2 linked regions of the Astyanax mexicanus genome follow. The protein of the gene in region 2 purifies or fractionates together with the protein of the main gene of each other region. This does not show direct contact. Links are inferred from orthologs where the notes say so. Each region holds a gene or a part of one and is shown on either strand. Other genes may lie near its edges. The genes, in order: FAST kinase domain-containing protein 5, mitochondrial; mapk4.

Evidence for each region.
Region 1: the proteins of mapk4 (region 2) and FAST kinase domain-containing protein 5, mitochondrial purify together in Homo sapiens (affinity purification with mass spectrometry; 3 studies listed by BioGRID and IntAct, with this or other methods). This does not show direct contact. The link is inferred for Astyanax mexicanus from reciprocal best matches to the Homo sapiens genes MAPK4 and FASTKD5.

Annotation. Positions count from the first base shown.
Region 1 is NC_064408.1:8,562,302-8,575,416, forward strand, and holds FAST kinase domain-containing protein 5, mitochondrial, read left to right. Parts: upstream 1-7,306; 5' UTR 7,307-7,410; intron 7,411-8,629; 5' UTR 8,630-8,641; coding exon 8,642-11,041; 3' UTR 11,042-11,840; downstream 11,841-13,115. Other genes in the region: leucine zipper putative tumor suppressor 3, read left to right, coding at 273-503, 1,281-2,042. UniProt on the Homo sapiens protein: Plays an important role in the processing of non-canonical mitochondrial mRNA precursors.
Region 2 is NC_064419.1:38,520,694-38,533,808, reverse strand, and holds the start of mapk4 (mitogen-activated protein kinase 4), read right to left. Parts: upstream 7,050-13,115; 5' UTR 6,506-7,049; intron 1,411-6,505; exon of another isoform or gene 1,333-1,410; intron 1-1,332. UniProt on the Homo sapiens protein: Atypical MAPK protein. Phosphorylates microtubule-associated protein 2 (MAP2) and MAPKAPK5.

The sequences.
Region 1 (13,115 bases), on a different chromosome or scaffold from region 2:
TGGTGGGTAAATACGTCCAATACTTCCTAGCTGTATTAGCTTCATAACTTCAGTGCAAATATAAAAAACTAACATCAGAAACTAATTATGTCCTGGTCAATAATCCACATATAATCCAATAATCCACATATCTGCTAAATGTAATGTAATGTAATATCAGCCTCATTTGTTTGAAGTATGATTGTGTGCATAAATGTGCGAGTTTTAATATTAGCCAAAACATTGCTATACAATGTGGCATGTGACATTCATACCCTTTACCTGTTCTTCAGGTATGTCAAAAGGCAGGTGAGATCTCCCTGCTCAAGCAGCAGCTTCGGGACAGCCAGGGCGAGGTGACCCAGCGGGCGGGCGAGATGGTGGCCCTGCGGAATCAGATGAAGGAGCTGAATGCCCAGTTGAGGGAAAGGGAGGAGGCCGAGCTCAGCCTGAAGGAGTCTTTCTGCACTAAGACACTGGAGCTGGAGCGCTGCGAGGCCGAGCTACAGGCCATGCTGGCAGAGGTACAGATTCAACTTTAGTCTCACTTTAGTCTCTGTCTTATCTTTCTCTTTTTAACTTATATTTTATTGATTTATCAAAGCTTATTGTTTCAGAGAACTTATAAACAAGGCTGCCCGGGATCAAATAATAAAACAATCTTACTTCTTACTTACAAATAAAAAATAAAAAGAGTAAACGTGTTAAAAAAAGAAATATATATACATGTATATGCATATACATATACTCACATGCAGGGAATCTAGGGTTGGGATAGAATTGTCCAATATTCAATGCAGTTATGTGCAATCAGATGACTTCCATATCTATTAGTGGATTTTTGTTACATGGTCTGTCTTAAGGCACACTGAAGCTATTCTTTGTTATATAATAGAAGACATTATCACAGATTACGTTGACCTGCATTGTAAGGTGAGGGGAACAAACAGCATTTTCCAAGGCTTAGAGTCAGACAGTCAAGAGTGTCAGTATCAGTACAATATTTTGTTATTTAAAAGCTATATTTAAATAACACTCAATCATAGCAAGTACACCAACTGGCCAGCTAAAATTTACCCAGGTAGATGGGTAAGGCTGGTTCATATAGTCAATGATGGTTTGAACAGTGTTGCTTATATCTTTAATTTATGTGGTAACTGTGTAAATTTCCATTCTAAAGATAAATTCTTCTTCTTTTACAATAGAAATAATATGGATTGTTGTGGCCCTTTAAAACTAACTTGTTCACTCACTGTGTCCACCTATCCCTCCCTCTCTTGCTCTTCTCTTGCTCTTTGCAGGTGTCTGTGCTGAGAGACAAGCTGAGCGCCTTCGAGACGGAAGTTGCCGGGCTGAAGAAAGCTCTGAGCGAGCTCAGCCATACAGCTAATGCTCGGGCGCCTGAGCACAGCCTGGCTGAAATGGGTCAGCTGGTGCTGTCGCGGAGTCGGGAGCGCCTCCTCTCCCCTCTGAGCCCCCCAGAGACCCCCACTGCCTCTCTCCCTGCCCTTCCTGCTCTACCAGGCCTCCCTGCTCTGCCTCCTCTCCCTGCTCCCGCCTCACTGCCAGGGGCAGACCCACTGCTCAGCCTGCAAAGCGACGACTCCAAAGCGCAGCGACAGGAGGCTGGGGACCTGCGGCGGCAGCTGGAGCTCCTTCAGGGCGAGTTGCGCCTGGAACGGCAGCAGCGTGAGCGGCAAGCCCTCAGCTTCGCCCAGGAGCGCCAGACGTGGCAGGGCGAGAAAGATCGCGTGCTCAAGTACCAGGCCCAGCTGCAGCTCAGCTATGTGGAGATGCTGCAGAAGAACCAGGCACTGGAGGAGCGTGTGGACCAGCTTGGTTCACAGCTGGTCACTCCCACCTTGGCCTTGCCTCCCTCTCCGGCTTCTCCACCGCCGCCGCCACACCCACAGCCACCAAGTCTGGAAGCCCAGACGCCAGTGTCTGTGGCTATTTCGCTCACTTCCCCGACTCCGCCGGCAGAGGAGAAGAAGCTCCATCAGCTGGCACCTCCATGGCCCGTCCCGACTCGCCTGGAGAGGATTGAGTCGACAGAGATTTGATCTTCAATCTGGAGTTGACGGCGAATGTGACCTCTTTGATGCAGTAAAAGAAACAAGAATCCCACTTAGGGCACCGATTACAATAGCGAATACAGTTATACAGTTGTACAAAAGTACGAATAAGTACAAACTCCCCTGAAACATAATATAATAATAAAAAGGTCATGTCAACAGCTTCTGAGGACAGTCCAAGGATGCCCTGCTGAGTGAGGCAGAGGTCAGGGTTGAGGGGTGAAGATAGTTCATTATAAACAGTAAATAGTATGTTCGTGTGGCCTTATTGACTGACCCATAGGAAGAAAAGCTCTGTATCTTGATTTTTGTAAAGCTGGTTGGGCGATAAAAGAAAGAGCTGGCCCTGAGTCTGTAGCCAAGGGGAAGTGAGGAGTACCTGGATTTAACACTCAGGGGATAAGGGATCAGGCATTAATAATAATCCATATTTACGGCTAGACTGTTGGAGCTTTTTAGCCACGTTGCCCTCTTAGCTGGAGAGCGGCTACCTGATGCCATTCAGTACACAAATTGCGATGAAAAAGAAAAAAACTGACATTTTCTTGGTTAGACCCAAGAAATAAATATCCAATTTTTATCTCAACACACATCAAACCAAGCTTAAAAACAGCTCAAAACTGTGGGTGCTGTGTAATTATCACACTACTCTGAAAACCCACAAAAACACAACAAACAGTAGAAACAGGACAGAACATCTGAATTATATACCTGAATAGACTTTCGTTTGTTTAATTTTTACTCTAATGAGAAGCTGAAGCTATGGGGAAACTTGATGCTCACTTATTTAAAGTGCTTGTCCATACCATCGTTTCTTTTAGTGAATAGAAGCAGGACCAAAAATGATATTTATAAAATGGTGCCGGTCTCGGGTTCCCTTGCAGTGGATTGTTGTAGTTGCAGTCATTATTGGGACACCAGTGGACACCAAGGCATGGTGTGTGATTTGCGTAAGAGCGTGCCTCAACCCTCCTGCTGTTATTAGCCAAAGCAGTGGCGGAGGACTTACCACATGGACGTTTGACTCAGAACGTCCTGACCAGAACATTGTTTTCTGCCTTTTTTTTTTTTGTTCCATGTTTCCAAAATGACGTAGAATATATTAAAAAGAGAGAAGAGAGAAGTATTACAGAAAAAATACAAACAAACAAACAAAAAACACAAAAAAACTAATATGTTAATGCACTTTGCTTTGGTCTCAGACAATGTTTCTTTTTAGAGAGAGAGGTTGTTTGTAAGTTGTTAATGAACAGCATCTGCTTACAGATGTTTGGTTTATGAAGCTGCTAGTTAGTGGGAGAAAGCGGAGTCAGCGGCTGAGCCAAAAAAAAAAAAAAGAAATGAAAAAACGCTAAGAGGGCAATCGGAATAGTTTGCGGAGAGGAACACGCTTCTAAAGCACCTTTCCTTTGCAGTTAATTAATTAGTTATATTGTTATATTTGAGCAGGACCTTACATTCTTCCAAAAAAAGAAGAAAAAAAAAAAAAAAGAAGAGAGAATATGTGTCAATGTATACTTTCTGAAAGTATCACTTTAGAATATTTGACTTTCAAAAGAAAATATAATTATGCAGTAGATTTGAAGTGATGTTTTGAAGTAAGTACACCGTGTACGCAGGCTGTGTCGCCATATCTGAATGGGTTCTAGAGGCTGAAGCGCCTGAAGTCGTGTTGGTTGGTCAGTGAGGGGGATTAGGTAGTGCGATTGTGTAGTGTGGGTTAAGGTTGATGAAAAAATGTGAAAGGTTTAGATAAATTTATGACAGGTGGTGATACAAAGACAGACTGAAAAGTGGTAGCATTGAAAAAGACAAATAAACAACAAAAAAACAATAACACCTTTTGTCACAAAGCTTACAGTAGTATCAAAAGCCCTACAATATGACAATTGTGGGTTTGACTGATTATTGTACTGTACAGGCAGGTGTATAGAAGGCCTAATATCTTAAGTCTCGTGTTGACTGGTCAGAAATATGATGGGAGTTCACTAGAGGTGCTTTAGTAACCCTTAGAAGTCAAGTTACCCCAGTATTTTGCTGTGCTATTCAGTACAAATTGGCTAAGTTCAGAATAAGACTGATGACGATTTGCCATTATTATCATTTATATTTATATAGTGTTCTTTTCAAATAAACCAAATTAGAAAGCCAGTGTCGACCAGTTAATCAATCAATCAATCAATAGATCTGTCAGCCTTTATTTAAGGTTTTACATTAAGGGTAATCCCTACAATGTAGCCAAGCTGATACAAAAAAGCTAGTAAAATAAATCAAATAAAATAATTTATAGGATATGATAGTAGTTATGTAGAATCTTCTAAAAGCAGATTTTCATAATTCAGTAAAAGTTAAAATGTGACAAATGTTTACAATCTGCACTTTCAAAAGAATTATCCAGTTTCTATGAAATAAGTTTATTAAGAAATTCATATAAATAAACAGAGTGTTTTTAATGACGATATCTGCGACTTCTAAGGGTCAACTCAATGCTTGGAACGTGTACCACATACAGACATCAGCAGAGAAAGACCTGATTTTACCTCATTATGCCAATGAGATCATCTACAAATTAATTTTTTGGGTCTTTCACTGCTAAAAAGGAGTATATATGTGTAGATAATGGGACATTTTAGGTTGTTACAGGACCCTACAACTGTACATGCACCTCAATTTCTAATAACTGCTGCGATAACCTCCAAACTGAGGGGTTTAACTGCTGTAATCCCATACACTCCATTTATTCTTACCTGTGCCATCACGACCGGTGTCGTGAGACGTTTTGAGATTACTGAACTGAGATTATCCGAATTTATCCGATCCTTTGATCCTTTATTTTTTTGTAGCTTTATGACATTGGGTGTTAAGTGAGGCATAACCTACAAAGCTTTAGATGGACACCACCCCTCTACTGTCTTTGGCCACATTTGCTGCTATGTAATTCTGTTGTGTCCTGCTGTGTTCTTAGTAGAGACAAAGGGGCAGTTGATTGCATGTAAATATCATTGTTATTTATGTGTACATATCTATTCTATCCAAATATACCAAGCTATTGCGTGTGAATACTTTTGTGAATTAATGAGACTGACATGTCAGCTTTTATTTTTCAAACTTATCGATATAGGAATATAATATAATATATAAATCTTTTAAAAAATTTAAATCGGCCATTACATGTTACAATCAAGATAAATACATGAGAGCCCTTCAGTGTCTTCTATCCCCCTCTGTCTCACAGTTCTTGAATTATACGAAGGGAGGACAAACTGTCACCAATGTTTTCATTCTGATTTTTTATGCTTCGAAATCGCTTGGGGAAAAAAGCATATCTTAGCAAATATGAATTCAAATAATAAAGATGTGAATAAAAATAAATCAACTGTGAATGTTTTTTTTTCAGTACTGTCTTCCTTAAGGGTGAAACAGGGGCCTGGGGTTGCGGGTTCAAGCCCTGCGAGAAGTTTGATGGGTGCATGTGGGTTTTTTTTCTGTGTACTTCTAAAAATACACATGAATACATGTGAATTGGCCATGCTAAAGTGAGTAAATGGTTGTGTGTAATGAAATGGTGCTCAGTTCAGAAAGTACCTTAGGAGTAGGCTCTGGACCCACTGAGACACTGGCCAGAAAGAAGCGGACAAGAAGATGAATAGATGGATTATTATTAATATCATCACTGAGAGATTACCTAGATATGGTGTGTTAATAATCAATGCCATCCAAAGCTACACTTTTAATTCACATCACCTAATTCAACAAAAAATAATATGAAAGATTGTGATGGAGTGGAACGTGTTAAGGTTAAATATTTTTCAAAATGTCATGCATCATTTTCTGCAGATCCACCTTATCAGAACAGCCCTACTCAACTCCACAAACTCTCTGAAGGTGTTCTGTGGTTTCTGGCCCCAAAACTTTAGCAGCAGATTCTTTAAGTCCTGTAAGTTGGGGGGTGGGGTCTACATGGATCACATCAATGGGCCTAGGCCCGTGACCCGGTCGCTGGGACAGTGGTTGTCCTGCCACAGAAGAACACAAAGGACCTGCTTTAATGTTCTGACCAAGTCATCTGGCCATCACTGTCTGATTATACTTACAGTATAATTACTATACTAAAATACTGCTTAAGATACACACTCATACTTACACAGGTACCAGTAGAACCAGATAATTAATGTTATTCCCTTTATAGTCTTAATATTATGGCTGATTGGTCTACTTAGTTTTTGGGGTTGACCTACTTGATGGATCAGATATACAGTACAGGCCAAAAGTTTGGACACACCTTCTCATTTAATGCATTTTCTCTATTTTCATGACTATTTACATTGTAGATTCTCACTGAAGGCATCAAAACTATGAATGAACACATGTGGAGTTTTATGTACTTAACAAAAAATGACCTGGTCTCCACAGTTACCAGACCTGAACCCAATCCAGATGTTTTTTTGCGTTATTAGGTCATTTAATTACATTTTTTACTTAGTATTAATGTGAGGAGAGGATAACAGTACAGAAAGCATCTTACCACAAATGCAATGATTACTTTAATTACTTATGCTTTAAAAGATCAATTCAACTGCTGGTAAATTGTAATTTTATCCTACATGTATAATCATGTGTAATATCTGATTACATTGTTTAGAATATGTTACCTATTTTTAGGCTGATCATTTGTAATGTCCCAATTATATTGTTTGGAATTTGATCATTTTCAAAAGCTTATATCACATTATTACATTTTCAAATGATAATTTGTAGTACTTTATTACATAATTGGTAATATGTTTATAATAGATTATTACGCAATTCGGAATTAAATTTTTAGTACCGGTAGCTTTTATCAGCTTATTATGAGTTAAGTGCAACATTTTGTTGTATTTGTTTTTCTTTTTTTTACATGTAACATATTAAACTCTTCCATTTTCTTTGGGGTCAATTTAAATCGGTGTCAAATAATTTTTTATATAATAAATAATAAATAAATTGTATTATTATAAAAAAACTGTATTATAAATCATCAATTACATTTTTCAAATTGATCATCTATAATACAGAATAACATAATTATAATTATAATGTCCTGTACACATGGATCGTCCGTGCCACCTTAAATATATTACAGCAATACGCACACCGCTGCATTCTTAAGGTGGACGGGAGAGTTCGGTTAAAACGCTGGTCAATAGGAAGCGCAGTTATGCGGAAGTGACTTTGCTTTGTTTGTCCTTTCTCGGCCACCGTAGTACGCGTGATCTGACACTTAGCTCTGTATATGGAGGCTCACACACGCTGTCCGGCGCAGGTTGACCTCAGTCAGTGATTAAACTGGATAAAACTCAGCGCTCTGTGGTTCAGTGTAAGTTCTGAAGGGTTTATGATATTTATATATATTTAGTGGACGAGAGGAGGAGTATGAGGCAGGTAACAGCCAGCTTAGTGCAGCAAAATGAAAGAAGACAGTGTCTGACTCTGATAACTAGTTAGCTAGCTAAAGATGCATATGTATGTAATCCAATTTAAACAGCCTGTAATTAAACATGATGTATAAGTGAGGATGTTCTGTTTCACTAAATATGTTAAACACTAACAGACTAAAGTCATATTGTTAGTGCAGCATGATATACTAGTGAATCTAAAAAAAATTTAAAATCATTGAAAAGTTACTTTATTTCAGGAATTCAATTAGCACTTGCAGTGTGGGTAGTGTGCCAAGTCCTGCTGGAAAATAAAATCTGCTTCTCCATAAAAGTTGTCAGTAGCAGAGGGAAGCATGAAGTGCTGTAAGATTTTTTGGGAAACTCTGCACTAACTTTGGACTTGATAATAAAACACAGTGGACCAACACCAGCAGATGACCTGACTCTCCAATTTGTGGAATCTTCACACTAGACCTCAAGCAGTTTGGACTGTGTGTCTCTCCACTCTTCCTCCAGAATCTGCTCCCTTGATTTACAAATGAAATGTAAAATTTACTGATGATCAGTGATGGTTTGAAAAGACATGTCATCTGCTGGTGTTGGTCAACTGTGTTATATTTAGTCCAAAGTCGGTGCAGTTTTGTTTACAGCACTTCATGCTTCTCTCTGCTGACAACTTTTATGGAGTGTAAGATTTCATTTTCCAGCAGGACTTGGCACATTGCCCTCGCTGCCAAAGCTACGTATATAACGTTTATACTTTTTGGAGACACTGATTGTTGAGTTTTGATTGGCAGTAATACAATCAACTGTAATGTGTAATACATGTAATACACTTTAAACTGAATTACTAAAATGAAGTAACTTTTCAATTAAATTCTAATAAAAAAATACTAGTAACATCTAAACATCAGCCCAATGTTTTTATTTTTTATGTTTATTGTCATGATATGACTTGTGACCTTGTTTTGCTTAATAATAATTAAAATAATATGTATATATAGCTATAAATAAATATTACATCATGTTTTAATAATGGTGATATGACACATTTCCTTGGTATGTATGGTATATATTGATATAGCCTTAATAATACATGAAAAAAAAAAACATTATGGTTCAGATTTAAGACTAATCTTGTTCTTCATCTTTTTTCAGTATATCCTGTGGATGTTTGCAAGGGCGCTGTCACGCCATGTGTCAGCACTGTGGCTGTACACCCACCACCCATGCAGGGTTGTGTATAAAGCACAGCATCTCTGCTCACATTGGGAAAATGGAAAAGAAGAGAAGGAGGAAGAAACAGAGACAGTCCAACAGCCACCAGCCGCAAAGAGGAACACCCTGGTATACAACCCCTCTGCGTACTACAAAAGGAGTACACAGCGTTCTGCTCTTTCAGACAGTTCACAGATGGAGGAGGAAGCCCCTTCTCAACCTGTTCCAAAGGCATCGATCAGGAGGAATCCTGTCCGCTCCACACAGCACATCAAGAATCGAAGACTTGACTTGGCTTTCAGTAAGAAAGAATTTCACCCATTAGACACCCCAGCTGATGTTAAAGGAGACCCACGAGCCTTTCATAGATGCAGGCCCGAGTACCGCAACATATCTCATGATCTATCCCGGCGTCCGCCTGCAATCCACTTCCAAGATGCTTTATTACTGCTTCATAAAGTCAATTCAGCTAAAGGAGACATTGAACCCTCAGATGTAGCTCATTGCCTTAGTCAACTGGGCTGCCTTGCCCCCAAACAAGCTCAGGTAATCCGAGGAGATAATGAGTTTAACATGCTTTTAGGATACAGTGCGGAATGCCTGCCAAACTTCACCAACCTGCAACTGCTGGAGGTCCTGCAGGCATTTGTGAGACTGGACTTGTCCTACTCCAACAAAATTCTAGGTTTGTACGAGGCTGAGTTTGGGCAGCGGGCTGGTAAAATGGACCTTCATCAGTTGCTGCTCATCGCTGACCTGTGGCGGTGTCTTGGCCGGTCCGTTCCGCATTATCTTGAGAGCCTGTATGACTGTATTTGCCAGCATTTCAGTGAAATGGGTCCTCCAGAGTTGGTTCAGTTCATTTACATACTGGGAGAAGGCAGAAAATGTCCTGCTCATCTTATTCAGCCCCTTCAGTCCCATCTCATGCGTCATTTACACAAGCTGGAGGCTGAAGAAGTAGCTGCTGTCTGCTTAGGGCTGTTCAAATCTAAAGCTTCCCTTTCAGAGCATGTGGTGCGTAGCATCGTGGACCATGCTTGTACCCTGGTTAAGGAAATGAGTAACTTCGGCTTAGTTAATGTTCTAAAACTCTTGCGTTTCAGCCACCTGGACCACCTGCCCTGGTTAGAAGCAATGGGGTCTGTGGTACCACAGCGTGCACCACAGATGAACGCCCCAGGCTTGATGCATGTTGTTTTGGCCTGCTCTGCTCTGCATTACCGCGATGACCGTATTCTCCTGGCAGTGGCAGAACATCTGCCTCCTTTGGCCTCCGACTGCAGAAGCAAAGATGCTGCCAAGGCATTGTGGGCCTTTGGAAATCTGGCTATCCTTCCCAAGCAGTGTCCAAGCTTATACCCTTGCATCACTGATATCCTACGCAAACGAAAGGCTGAATTCCAGTTATTTCCCGAGCATCTCCTTACAGCTTTGTTAGGTTTGGCTTTTGTAGGTCAGTATCCTAATGATCTACTAAGTTTAGCTTTAAGCCCCGAGTTCATAAGCCTAGCCTCGAGCCGAGCCCACCTGCAACTGGGAAAGGACTTTTTCACTTTAGATGGTACGGTAGGAATTGAGTTGCCTGGCTGGACCGGGCCACGATTGAGCCAGGCGTTTAGGGAAGAAGTAACAAAACAGCTATGGGACTTTGCCAAATTTGATATATGTCAGAAGCCGGAAGTTATAGAGGCCGAGGAGGTGCTACAGGGGCTGCTTGGAGGAGAAGCTTTTGTTCGCAAGGGAATGATCTTACCTCACATGCGCTCTATTGACCTTGAGGTGCACTTGGATGCTAATGAACAACCTTTACCTGTAATATCTGAGCCCACAGTTCATTGCACATCTACTCCAAATAAGGAATCAAACCCTTGGGAAGGACCCATTGGAGTAAATCTGACAGATGACTTGCTGGCCCAGCTCACTAGTGCCAAAAAGATCCCAGTGCAGACACCACAGCAGTTCATCCAGCCTCCAGCCCTGAGGCCGGTTGAGCCACAGAGGGAGAGAGAAGTCCTCTTCGGTGTTGGAATTGACTTAACTGATTGCCTCCTTGATGCTATGACGAAACGTAGAATTTCTTCTTCTCCTGCCCCCGACCAGGTCAATTCCAAACAATCTGTACTTCGCCTTGCGGTTCAGGTGACCAACAGGAATCACTATTGTTACAGGACACAACAGTTGCTTGGGCTCCATGCAATGAAGAGAAGACAGTTAGAACTGGCTGGTTATAGAGTGGTGGAGCTGCCTTACTGGGAATGGTTTCCGTTACTCCGGTGTTCGAAGGCTGAAAAACGTGCCTACCTGCATTGCAAGATTTTCAATACTTATGACTCAACACAAAGGTCATGACCTCGTGTTTGCTGCTTAGTCAGCAGTCAAAAAGAGATGATGGATGACTTCACATGTATCAGAGGAGGCATGTCCTCGCACCCTCCCCATGTCAAAAGCATTCCAAATGATGTGAGGGAGTCCTAGAAAGCGGGTCGGTTCTTTGGCTTAGCTAAACTGCAGACATAATTTGGTAAAATTAATGGCTAAGTTGCCAGGTTTTATGTCATACAGTCTTGCAACACTCATTAAAATAGCATCACCACAGTAAACATGTAAAAATGGTCAGAAAAATAATACACAAATAATTTACCAACAACCAAACAATGCATTGATTTTGAATATCACAACTGAAGTCTAAATTCATTTCTTGTGTAAAATATTAATTAATGTTGTTTAAGAGAATCTCTTGAAGAATATTGTGCTAATATTTAAAATAACGTGTAAAACATTGTTATAAAATGATGATAAACTTACTATGATATCGGACATTTTTGATATGCCTTTATAGGCCACCAGATGTTCTTCAAGAAAAATGGCAACATGTAAAGATGTAAATTAAAGGATGCCCATGATATTGTGTTAGCTTCTCTCATTTCTTTTTAAAATCAGTGTGTAAAAGTCTTTGCAGATTGTTGTTTGACAAATATTAATGATGATATGGATGTTATACAATCTCATGCCAAATGTCGTAGGACGAGAACTAGTATAGTATTTCATAACTTTTGCCATGTCCTATGAAAGCCTAAAAAATGCTTCACTGACCTTTGTGAAATGCGTCTGGGGCCTTATTCAATAAATATGGATGTGATTATTGCCATTTGCTTCTCTGTTTGTGAGGGCAGATTTAGACAGACACTGCTGGTCTCGATTATTACCCACTACTGCAAGCCTACTGTGGATGAATGTTAAATGCCTGAACACTTTGGGAAATGGAATGTCCCTTCCATTGGGTAACTACTGTCAGTCTTCGCTCGAACTCCCATAATTCATGTCACCTGTCATGAGCCACTATTCAGGTTCATTCTCAAGAATCTCAGGTTTGGGTGTTGCAAAGCCTAAGGCAACCATTTACGTACTGCTATCTCATGACTTTTGGAATATTAGTGCATGTAATATAGACATTACACTGGTTTTGTTTAGACTAGTGGTTCTGGAGTCTGTCCACTTGGGAAACAAAGCACAGTACAGTATACATTTTCACCTGTTGCCTGTGGAGGGTAGTAATATCCCATGACTGGCTTCAAAAACACTGACTATTCTTCTGTGTTTTTATAAGTCTTTATAAGTCCTCTTCCCCTATTCCCGCACTTCTGTTCTTTCATTCCTTTAAATTCTTTGCTCATAATCTGGCCATCAGGTGAATGTGCCATCATAGCATGGCACATGCCTAATACAGTATAAGAACTCTAAAAATAAAGTTTAAAGATTAACTCACATATTTTATAGGGAAAAAGTTTTAGGGCTCATGCTCATTCATTGTTTTTTCTAAAATCAAGGGTATTTAAACAGATTTGTCAGGATTTTGTTAGAGTAACTGTTTCTAATTTCCAGGAAAGAAGTTCAAGATTTTGGTTTATTGCTGTGCTAATTTGATTGCATTCAGTGAAGACTGCATTAGTAAGGTGCTGGATGATCACAGCCCCACCCCCAATACCTCAGGTTATATTTGGACATATATAGGACTACACAGCATTGTGAATTATTTTTGAATTTATTATTTTATGATCAAAGTCTTAGGCTTAGTTCTTATGTAGGGGACCAACCTATGGTGTATAATAATTTGTAATTTATAGTAAATATTATTCTCTGTTTTTTTTTTAATACACTGGCAGTCAAAATTGTTTGATTATTTTATATTTGCTGATGTCAAAAGGTCTATAATTGTTTTTTTGTATGTCCTCTTCTGATCTTGATGACTACTTTACACCACTTTGTCATATTTTCATAACAATTTCTTTTTTCTGTCTTTCTTTCAATCATTTGTTTATTTATTTTCAAAGAAAGGGGAAAAACAAACAAACAAAAAAAGAAAACATTACTTTGTCAAAATCAATTTATACACATGTATGCATACACACATATTCATATGCAC
Region 2 (13,115 bases):
AATGTGGACAAGACAAAGGAAATGGTTGTTGACTTCAGGAGAGCACAACACACCCACTCTCCACTCAACATCGACGGGTCCTCTGTGGAGATTGTTAAGAGCACCAAGTTCCTTGGTGTCCACTTAGCAGATAACCTCACCTGGACCCTGAACACCAGCTCTACAGCCAAGAAAGCCCAGCAGCGTCTCTACTTCCTTCGGAAGCTGAGAAAGGCCCGTCTCCCTCCACCCATCCTCACACTCTTCTATAGAGGGACCATTGAGAGCATCCTGAGCAGCTGCATCACTGCCTGGTTTGGGACCTGCACCGTCTCTGACCGCAAGACCCTCCAGTGTATTGTGAGGACAGCTGAGAGGATCATTGGCGTCTCTCTCCCCTCCATCAAGGACATCTACACCACCCGCAGCATTTGCAAAGCAACTAGCATTGTGAATGACCCCACCCATCCCTCACACAAACTGTTCTCCCTCCTGCCTTCGGGAAGCATCCCGCAGCATCCGGTCCAGCACGACCAGATTCTGCAACAGCTTCTACCCCCAAGCCATCAGACTCCTCAACTGCAGAGACTGAACTGATGGTTTTTCTGTACATGCACACACACTCTTACCCCACTTACCCCAGAAAATGGAAAGCACTAAAAACCCTACTACCTCACTGGACTCTATTGCACACTGTGTAATAGAGGTAATTACTACCTCACTGGTCTTTTTTGCACACTGCATAATTTGCACACTGTCTTGTTATTTATTATTCTTTTTCTGTATTGTGTTGTATTGTCTGTCTGCACTTTTGTACTGTTGCACTATTGTTCTGTATACACTGTGTTTATGTGCACCATGGTCCCTGGAGGAACGTTGTTTCGTTTCACTGTGTACTCTGTATATAGCTGAAATGACAATAAAAAACACTTTGACTTTGACTTTGAGACACATATGAAATACCTTACCTTGTCTTCTGCATCCACTGTTTCAATAAAATTGAAAGCTTTCTGCAGAATTGGATACAATTCTGAAGCAGTGGCAACAATCATTTTGCAGTGATAATCCACCACAGCAAAATATATTCAGCAAAAAAAAAACACTAAATTTGTAGTATGTTCAATATTGGAAAAAAATCCCTTATTTAGTATAATTATTCACATTGATATTCAGATATCCAACAGCGTGATCACACATCACATTTTATGTCCATATAACATTTCCCCCCTACTGTTTGCACTATAATAGCCTTGCACTGCACTTGCTGCCTCCTTGATGCTGGGCTGCTGGCACTGAACTGATCAGGGGATAAACCTGATGTAATCAGGGTGTAATCTAAGAGCCTCTACTTGCCGTCTCTGTGTCTGAGCTGGCCTTTCACCTCCATGCTCCGTATGCAGCTATCTGTGAGCATTGGCATGCATTCCTTTCCTAAGAGAGAGACAGAAAATAGAGAGAAAGACCATTAGAGACTAATCAGTAATATATATAGAGTAGGTATGTTTACAGTAAAGATAATCATGACATCATACCACTTGTTGTTACATCAATTGGCACATATACTGTACCTAATGTTTCGTTAATCTGACGTTATCTTAGAAATACAGTTAGCGAACGAGCCGCCCTATGATTCACTTTTATGAAAGGCCCCCTGATAAGTGTCTCTGGGGCACCCTGGCCAAAGCAACTCATCTTCAATGACAAGATTGCAATCTACGAGTGTTAAGCCTTCAGCCAAAATGCTGTTATGTAAGCAGATCTTCACTGTTGAAAGGCATTAGCCTGTGTGCACTTCAGATTTCCACTTTGCGAATTCCCAACAGGTGGAGAGGAAAAAACTGGCAATTCTGTTCTTCTCTATCTGTCAGGAATTGCCTTCTATAGTCAGTTTCTTCAAAATAGTATGCCTTGATTACTTGCTGCTTATTAGGGATAGAACATTTCAAATATCAAAGTACTACATTTTGCAATATTCTATAAATTCTCAAAAATACTCTAATGATTGTAATTGGATTGGTGTCAGACAGTGGTTCAGAATTTTAGACAGCAGTGTCTTCAGATCACACTGTTCTCACTTGATAATAAGTCAAATTTCTTTTAATCAGATTTGATGCATTCTGTGTATGGTGTGTTTTTTATTACCCTAACTCTTACTCTGTGTTTTCATAAAATGTGATTTAAAAATCAGCATGTCAGATAGATAGATGAACAGTCTTATGGCCTGAGGGACAAAAGACCTCCTCAGTCTGTCCATGGAGTAGGACTGGGACAACAGTCTGCCGCTGAATGAGCTCCTTTGCCTGGTGATGGTGCTGTGCAGAGGGTGGTTAACATTGTCCATGATGTTCAGCAGCTTGCTGAGGGCTTTCCTATCTGCCAGTGGTGTTAAAGGACTCCAACTTTAATCCCAGCACAGAACCAGCTTTCCTCACCAGCCTGTTGAGCCATCTTGTACAAAGTAGTGTAATATATCCCAATACATTAAATCGTATGTCCTGTAATGTGATACATATAGTTTTGCCATGTTCTTGCCAATACACAGCTCTGCACAGACAGCTGTGCTATTCTCAGAAGCCAGAACCTGTCAGTTGTCAGGTGCTACAAACCAACTGAGTTTGAGACACACTTTGAGACACACTTGACATAATGGCCATCTTTGTTAAGATTTTTTTTCTCCACAATTTGACTTCATATTTAAAACAATGGCTAAATAGTGTCTGAAATGTAAGAAATGCTGCTTACTCAGACAGTATTCTGAGACGGGAAGAAACCCAGTCATGTCTGAATCGAAGTTATTAATCTAACTAATCTAATCTAATAAGGCTAGTCATCTAACCTTCTATTGTACTGAGTTAAAATATCATTAGATAATAATACACAGCTAAACGTTCATGTCTAGCTGTAAACTGTCCACACTGCCATTATTTAGCTAGATACTTCACGTTTCAGACAGCCATTGATTTCTTTAGACTTTTACGCCATGTCTCAATATGCAGTCTTGTGTGTTTTTTTCTTTGCATTACAATACAATCTGCCAATTGTTTCCGGTTGCCCAATTTGTGCTTCACCCCAAAAAACGAGGATGCATCAGTTGGTGACTTCTGGAGTCCTTTTTTTCTATGCATACTTATACTTACGCATACTTTTGCATACATACTGTGCAGCAACAGATGAGCTTTTGTTTCAATGGTGGCGCTGTCGCTGCTAGGTAGAAGTGTCTGAAAGAACACAGTGTTTAAAAACTCCAGCATCACTGCTGAGTCTGATCCACTTGTATATACCAGACTCATACAGACACAGTGGCAAAAGATGCTGTTCAGACCCACAATAATTAAGCTTTTAGTTTCTCCTCGCTCTGCTTTAAGAAATCAGGGAAGAAATGGGTAGTACATTTGTCAAAATGTACTTAATTTGATACAAACAAAGATTGTTTATACTGTTCTGTATAACACACTATCTCAAAAGATAGATAGATAGATAGATAGATAGATAGATAGATAGATAGATAGATAGATAGATAGATAGATAGATAGATAGATAGATAGATAGATAGATATTATATTATTGGTATTAAGAAACACCACTTGTCTCAAACAAAGACTTCCTTTCTAACCTTTTTTTTCTTTGTCTCTTTAATAATTGGCTTTAGAAAAAAACATTTACATTTACTTATTACATCAAAAACGTAAACAAATTGAATTGTGTCTCAAACATAAGAACTGAATTTTAAAAAGCTTTTGCTTGTAGCTGGTTTTGATAGTCAAGATGGCTGAAAAATTTGGTAATCCAGGTGAAAACATACCTTGGGCTGGTTAGCAACCTGATTAACCAGTTTTTGATCAGCAAAATGTATGATGCATTTAATTTTTTCGGTCATGCTTGTGGACTAGCTTGCTTCAAATGATCAAAAAGTGTTATTTAACCCCTTCAAATAATTATTCAACTTAATTAGGCACAACATGGCAAAACACATTAAAAACTGTATCAAATGAACAGAAAGTACTTTTAAAGAGAAGATTAACTTTACTTACTATTTGTAGTAATGTGTTAATTCAGAATATGTATTTGATAAATGCATTGCTACACAGTGTTTATATGAAATTGAAACATCTACGCTGCGAACACAAAAGGCCTGTTATATAAATATTAACCCTTTTTGAGAATAAAAAAGTGAAACATCATTAAAACAAGCCATTTATCATTCAGACAGTCTGTTAGCGGTCAGAAACAGAGACACAGAGGAGAACAGAGGAGGAGGGGGGGGAGAGGGCATGCTTTATTTTGTACCTGGCGGCAATGGGCTTCCAAATTAGGCATCCCAGCGCGAGCGAAGTGTCTGTGCGAAGCGCCAACACAGCCCTGCCTGCATTCCCTTCAGCCTTTCAGCCCAACTTTATAAATAATGCATAGTGCTATGGCGCTGACTAGCTGAGCTGCTGCTGCTGCAGTTCAGCCATGGACCTACCAACACTGCAGAAACAGCACCCAGCACTGCACACAGCACTCAGACTCACTGATAGCAGCCTTACAGCTCATCTGATCTGATCTCCTGGATAGGGGAGCTGTTCTTATTGCTGTGTTCACACACAATCCTGATTTTAAAACGGATTTAACAGAATTCATTTTAAAGGAATAAAAACAACAACTTGTTAGCTGAGTGTAATTGGAGTACTGAGTGAAAACAGCTCAGTGTAACTTAAGAGCTGCATCATGTGGTGCTTTTTGATAAAAGCTGTACATTTTGTGACTTTTAGAAAATACTCAACACTCAAATATCGACAAATTGCACTTATCAGACCTCCCTGATAACTCAGTAGGTGTGGTTATTATGTTCTAATGAACATGCGTGACTGACAGCTGTCTATCACTGGTAAACAAAAGTTTGTTTATACTGCCATGGCAACATACACATAACACAATAGCGCATTTCACACTTTACCCGAACAAATAAGTCTGCTCCCAGAATTGATTCTAGGATTGTTTGGAGAGGAGCTCATTATCGCTGGTTTGTTTTCACACACGAGAACTTTTTTCCGAATCGTGGATTGAATACATAATCCTATACGTTTTCTGTGAGTAGTTTAATAAATGCTTTAGCTGGAGGTTGACTTTTATTATTATTTTATTATATTTAGTATATTAGATAAATATACTTGAGCGGCAAAGAAAGGCGCTTTAGGCGTGTATGACATTCCACCATGAAGCTCCTCTTAACCAGTGACCATTCGATTAGGAGACGGTTATTATCCATTTAGCTTATAACCTGGCACAGCCACTTGAAGCAAGCCCCAGACCACTGATTTTAGCTGCTACAAAGCAGCTTTTACACTTTTCCAAACTTACCCTTGGAGAAGGCGCACCGGGACCACATCCGCCCTTAGAAAAAATTTGGAAAGCTTGCTAGTTAGCTAACCAGCTGAATGGTTAGGGTTGCTCAGGCTCAAAGAGTGGGTGGAGCTATGTTTGTTACCCTTTGTGATCGCTCATTAACCAGCTTTTGATCAGATTAGTGTATGATGCATTTACTTTTTTGGTCTTGCTGGTCGACTAGCTTGCTCTAAATTATCGAAAAGTATCATTTTTTAACCCCTTCAGATAATTATTCAAATTAACCCGGTAACACTGCAGACATGGCAAAATATATTACATAAAACTATATAAAATGTATAGAAATACTTTAAAGTAAAGATTAACTTTACTTATTGTTTGTAACAATGTGTTAATTCAGAAACAAATTTGATTAATATATTGTTATATATGTTGGTATAAAATTGAAATGCTGTGAAAACAAAAGACCTGTTATATAAATATGAATCCTTTTTGATAAATTAATGCATATTTATATATTATGAAATAAAAAAGTGAAACATCATTAAAACAAGCCATTTATCATTCAGAGACAGTTTGCTAGTTTGCTCACCAGCTGGCTGGTTAGGGTTGCTCAGGTTAGAAGTGAGAGAGGGCGGGGCTAATATTTGTTAGCTTTGTGATTGGTCAGGGTTCTGCTTTTAGCACTGTCCATTCTACAGCCAGAGATTTATTAGACTTTGGGAAGATACTGTATTTATTATAAATTCTTTGTACATGTTATTTGATGCCCTCGTCTAAAAGCTTTTTGTGTTAGTATTTGCATTTTGCTTTGTCTTATTATTTCCCCCTGCATTTTTTTTCTTTAATTTCTTCTGGAATTATAATAAAGTAGTAGGCTACACTGACTGAATGGCTGAACTGTTGTGCTGTGCACAAATCTTTTTCAATATTAATTATAATCCTAGGTCCTTCGTGTGTGGCTGATGGTGCCTTGTAGAGCCTGTGTGCCCCCTTAAACTGAGCCCACTACTGTATGAGATTAAGACCACCGGGTTTCACGCTTAGAGGAGTGAGAACGAAGTGAAGAAAGGAGCTTAACTGAGATTAAAATCCTGCTATCCTCCTCCTGCTGCTGCTGCTCCGAGCTATAGCTGTATATCTATCGCTCCATCGGAAAGTACAGCTAGCTACAAAGGGGGGCGATGCTCCGGCTTACCGTGTAGTCTGGGGGGCTTCTCCTCTGCTCCTTCACGCGCTGCTGATGGGGGAGATCTGCAGGTTTAGCTCCACATCTCTTCCGCTGATCTTCTTTCATTTGTTTGCCTCCTTTAGTGGCAGTGAAGCTCCGTATCAGCGCGGCTTCATCATTCATCAGATCTGCATCAGATCAGCGGGTCAGATCAGATCTGCTGGCCTGGCTGTGTGTGATCAGACTGGAGGAGGCGGAGGAGAACAGCAGCAGCAGCAGCAGCAGATCAGCCTCTTCTCCTTTATTGTTTCTCCCTCCAGACTTTTGTTCCCCCTCTCCTTTTCTCCTCCTCCTCTGTATTCTCTGTACTTTCTCTCTTCCACAAAACTCACCAATAAAACCCAACCCAATAAAAACGTAACGCCTTTTGCCCCTCAACTCTTCTTGATATCTCGCTAGCACCTATTTCCACACCTGCCCTCTTCTTTTTTGCCCCACTCACTGAAGAACAAAAGCCCCCCAAGCACTCCCCCTATCTCTACACAGAGCGGAGCCTAGCAGCCCAGCAGCTCCACAGCTCCACACCGGGCCAAGCAGCAGCCAATCGCGGCCGCGCACTGCCAGAACTGCGCCCCAGACGCGCCCCTGATTGGCTGCCGGCCCCTGGCGCTAATTTGCATACGAAGCCTCTGTTTCTGACAGTGAGGAGCTCTCCTGAGACTTCAAACACTGTCTAAAACACAGACATGAGATATAGATACAGTGGAAAAGAGGTCAGTCTAACGTTTAAATACAAAATTGGGCGTAAAATTTCAATAGTTAATGTTTTACATTTTATATATTACAGAAAAAATTAGGTTTTCAATTATTTTCCAATGTGCAAGTTTTTTTCATTTCTGTTTTTCACGATCAGATATACATGAAAAAAACGTTTCTATTCAGTTTTCTGATTTAACACATTTTTTTTCACATTTTGTAATAAAATCTGATGGTATAATCCAACCTACTATTTTATAAAAGGAAAAATTGGAAAAGTCTGACAATGTATTAAAATGTATCCTGTTGGGGTAGACATGAAAAAGAAGAAAGAAAAAGCTATTTTTTTCTTTTTCATGTCTAATATATATATATATATATATATATATATATATATATATATATATATATATAACCAGGTTTTCATGATGATGCCAGATTTTATGTATTAAAGAAGATTTTGGGTTTTCAATTATTCGTCCAATGATCAAATTTTTAATTTCTGTTCCTCACCGTTAGATATACATAAAACACAAAAAAGATTTCTATTCAGTTTTCAGGTTTTACAGTTTTTGAATTTTGTAAAAAAAAAAAATCTGATATAATCCAACCTACTTTTTTACAAGAGGAAAAAAATGCAAAAGTCTAAAAATGTATATTACCCTGGAATTATGATCCTGATGGGACTGAAATAAAAAAGAAGAAATTTGAAAACAAAAAAATGAAACTAGTTTCTTGGTTCAATAGTTTAATGGTTTCATTCAAATCAAATTGTAAAATGTATATATTTCTTTTTTCCTGGAGTTCAGATTCTGATGGGGCAGAAATGAAAAAGAAGATTGGAAAAAAATGCTTTTCAATCAATTTATCAAGACTTAACTTCAAGATGGCACCTGGAGAACTACCTGAAGGCACTGTGTGTATAAACAATGTTTTAATAAACTACTTGTGCACTTTCAAAGTTCTCAGTGCCTTGTTTTAAATATCAGGGCCTTAGAATTTGACCAATGTAGTGTAGAGCTACTTTGAGATTGTATCAGGAATCATTGATTGTCAGGAATCATTTGCTTCTATGAGCCGTTTGGATGGCTCCCTTATTGGGATGTCACAATAAGAAAACCCGAGTAGAATCACCCTGGCAGCACCCCTCACTCGTCAACACTCACCAGAGCTTCAACCACTAGATCGGTAGAAGATCCACCAATTCAATCTGCTGGTTGAGCATCATGCATTATCTGAGGGAGGGATCTGTACCATCATGTGGCCCCTTTAAAAAAAGAATTGCCCACAACTGGTCTGATATTTGATTTTAATTGATAACCCATTTTTGTCAAAAGTGGAAAAGGGTGGAGAAACAAGAGCATCAAGTTTAGTCTCATCTGTGCTCTGATGCAAGGATGCAGAGTCCTTGGACAGTCCAGCTTGAGAGGCAGAGTGTTTGGCTTGCCTCCCAGTGCCTCATCATCACAGGGGGTCAGGTTACTGCGCAGCAGAATCAGTGGGTCGCCAAGGAGAAATAAATAAATGAGGAGCCGGTCTGAATTTCCTCTCTCCAAACACCTGAGTCAGCTCTCTGTGGGAGTGACCTGTGGGGATAGACTTTTCCACTTTTAAAGGAACTGCGTTAAAATCTGACAGGGAATCTATACACAGTTTGCCAGTGTGGGAAGTAACAAGATAGGGGCTGTCTTCTTTCACTGAAGAATCAATTACATATATATTTTTCCTGCTTTCACAGATAGAGGGCAAACTGCATCTGCAACTGCAAGGGATCCTAAAGCAGGATATGGATGGACCTCATGTGCCAATCAAAGACGTTGTGATAAGGATCAGATTGTTAGTATAAATAGAACGGTTAAGGTAATCTCTAAAACACTTTTTCAGGAAAGGACTTGAGGGAATTGGGGTTTTAACTTATTAATTGTATTTACTACAGTGCTGTTTCACACTGAAGCAGAAAGAGGTGACAAACCAAAGTTATACACTGCTTGGCCCAAAAAAAAAAAGTTGCCACCTAAAAAACAAGGTCATACACTCTAATATTTGGTTGAACTGCCTTTAGCATTGATTGCAGCACACATTCACTGTGGCATTGTTTCGATAAGCTTCTGCAATGTCTCAAGATTTACTTCAATCCAGTGTTGCATTAATTTTTCACCAAGATCTTGCAGCAGCATTGATGATGGTAGAGTCTGACCACTGCACAAAGCAGCGCTTCTCCATCCAGCACATCCCAAAAATTTTCAGGTCTGAAAAAGGTCTGGATTCTGTGGTGAACTCTCTCAATCCATTTGTAAAGAAAATGATGATCTCATGCTTCCTGAATCACCCTTTTACAATTCCAGCCCCATGGATCCTGACATTTTCATCTTGGAATATGGCCGTGCCATCAGGGAAGAATTCCAAAATCCATTGATGGAATAACCTAGTCTATGTTCAGTATATTTAGATAGTCAGCTGACCTCATTCTTTCAGCACATACTGTTGCTGAACCTAGACCTGACCAACTGCAGCATCAACCCCAGATCATCACAGTAAAGTATACAAAATCCTAAAGATTATTATTTACTTTGATTACACATGCAACAAAAAACACTGTGAATACTGTAGATATTTCACACTGTAAAGGTATTTTCATTATTCAAATGTGCATTCTGTAAGAGTATAGTGTATAGTGTTTGTGGTCTACTGTATTAATTAATCTTTAGAATGTAATTTTTACAACATAATGTGCATAATGCTTAGTAATATTATTCATAGACTTTCTTGTATGTATACAGCTGAAAAATTTACAGTAACAGTGACAGTGTAACGTTTACCCAAAATGCAAAAACAAAACAAAAAAAAAAATAAGTTGATTATAGTTGTTTTTTTTCCACTGATTTGGAATATATGAACCACTTCAGTGCATACGTGTGCCCCCTGCTGGCCATCCCTCTAATAACAGGTTTTCTAAATATTAAAAATAGAACAAAAGGGTAATTTTAAGTAGTTTGGAATCAAATGCTCTGCTGTAGAAGTTGCAGATTTGTTTTCACCTAGAGAACACGCACATATAGTTCCATGCATCCCACATATGGATGTCAGTGAAGGCCCCATCTGGGTGGTACACTGCACAAGGGGTCTAGATGAGCTTTAACCCTGCTGGCACACAACCGACCTTAAACGTTGAAATGTGGTTGAAATATGACTAAAGTAATGTCTGTTAACAACATTGAATCAACATTTAATGTTTAACAGTAGTGCTAATGTTGAATTTTAACATTGAATCAACATTTTATGTTCAATGGTTGTGCTAACGTTGAATTTTAACGTAGTACAGGGATGTGAGTTTATTGTTAACACTTTGTTAATCATAGGATTTTCTCATTTTTTTGAGCTATGGTTTATTAAAGATTGAACATATGACGTTGAAACAACGTTGCCTGTAAAAAGACGACTACAGAATGAAATGCCTCCAAGAGCAACATTAGCCTGAAGGTTAAATCTGTATAAACACACACTGCCAAATACCTTAAATATAGTTTTAAGATAAATGATTGTTTAGCCTAAAATATATTTCAACTAATTTAAACTCCATATATAGTAGAGTGTACAAAATACAGGTGTCAGAAATCGTAAAACACAACCTTTTATTCCAGAAATGAATAGGACGTGAAAATAAAGGGGAACTGACATATCTAAATACCCCAGGCGTATTTGGACTCTGTCCAGAACATGTCCCCCACCTTAAATACCACACCTTTGTAGGACAGGAGGGGAATCCCACATGTAATCTGCCCATTAAAACAAGAAACAAATTACATTTTTCACTAACAGACCATTGGCAGAACCGATGCAGACCACAAGTAAAAAAAAACAACAACAACAAAAAAAACACTGTTCTAATAGACTCTAAAAGTACTCTTAATGAGGTACAGTCCTGTAATCACTGATTGTATTCTCAGAACCAGCTCTCTAATGAATCGACCTGCACTCTTGATTAACCGACTTGGCTGGTTTAAAGGCCTTTTGTTGCTGGGGAACCCCTTTCAGATATTTTCATGGGCAATATCACTTGAAAATGCCACCACTAGACAGATAAGTGCTGAGGTCCACGCCCTGAGTTTTATCTACACTTGAACATTTCCAGGCTGACGTACAGTAGAATATATGTCCAAATATTTGTGGACACCTCTTCTAATACATACTTACAGCTGGCATTCAATGCACACACATACAGAGCTTGTCTAGTGTTTGTAGAGATATACTTCCAAAAGAATAGGACCTCTATAGAATAGATATACATTAACCTATTTATTGGCACCATGCCTAATACTCGATGTGGGATACTGGTGTTTGAAGCTGCACAGCACTGAGCTGTGGAGCAGTGGACCTGGGTTCTCTGGAATAATGGTGCTCCATCCAATACTTTTGAGAATGGGATGAGTTGGAAAATGAGGGAATAGGTGAGGTGAGGTGAGGTGAAGTGGGGTGGTGTGGTGATTACTCAACTTTCAGACTTTATGAACGGTCTTTTCTGTGAATGCAATCAAATCCTCACAGCAATGCAAATCCAAAATCTATAATAAAAAAAATAATAATAAACTTACCCGGACAGTAGAAACAGTTACTTCAACTAAAATAAAACAAATTTTAATATCCTTTGATTACTCAAGGATCAATGCCCCAATACTTTTCTGTCCAGACAAGTATGACTGGCACACTTTTCCTTCTGATTTCACTTAAATACAAGTTTATTTAATGATTTTATCAGTGCAAAAAAAAAAAAAAAACAACAACAAGACTGGCTTCTAACAAGCTTATTTTGACCTATTATGCTTTAGATTAAATTTGCAGCAAAACACACTACAGTAGAGACACAGATTCTAAAACTAAAGATAAACAGTTTGGATCATCTTTAAATGGTAAATGACCTAAATTTAAGGTCTAATCATTTTTCAGAGAGATTTTTATAGAAAGTCAGTTTCCTGGTCAGTTTCTGGACCTTAAATCTACAATTATGGTAAGGAATACCTAATGACAGATAGTAAATATTGATTATGGTAAGCAAAGGATAATTAATTTGATGCAGTTATGGGTGGGCAATATGACAATATTATGTTCGGCTATGTTCGGACTGCAAGCCCAAATCTGATTATTTAGCAAATATGGATGGTATCCAGATTGATTTTTGATAGTGTGAACATCTAAAAACCTATAAAATCAGATTTTTGCAAATCAGATCCAATCCACATTTGTATGTGGTTTGAAATGTGATTACAATCGGATTTGTGCAGATGTGTCTCAATCAGGGCATCGGCACGTCTTGTGTGTCACTCACAACACAACAAACAACAACCTCTTTAAATCCAGAGTGTAGAAAGTGCAGAGGTCCAAAAAGAGCACCAAAGATTAATAACTGGTGCCGACCAGATAACACAACATGCGGACACATTTGTGATGTCCTGACATGCAAATCCAATCTGATCACTTGAAACAAATTTAACAAATTTAAGAAACAAATCTGATTTTCCTGCAGTCTGAACATAGCCAATGTTACCATCATCATCATCATCTTGATAAATTATGTCACAATACACTTTTCATAGACATCAACACTTAAAGAACATTAAATAACTGCATGTTATATTACATAAATAGTCTAATTAGCCTTGTTTAATAGGAATTTATGAAATATCATAAAAAGAAAAATCAGGTAGCCTTATTTTTGCACTGTCCATTGCAAGTTAAGCAAAACATAATACACATCATGCACATTCTGAATATGTCTTCAAGTTTTGTGATGTTTGCCCAGTCCTAGATGAAGAACATTTTTGGAAAACATTAAACACATACAGACATACTGAAAGTGAAGGTACTCCTCCCTAAGGCACAATAT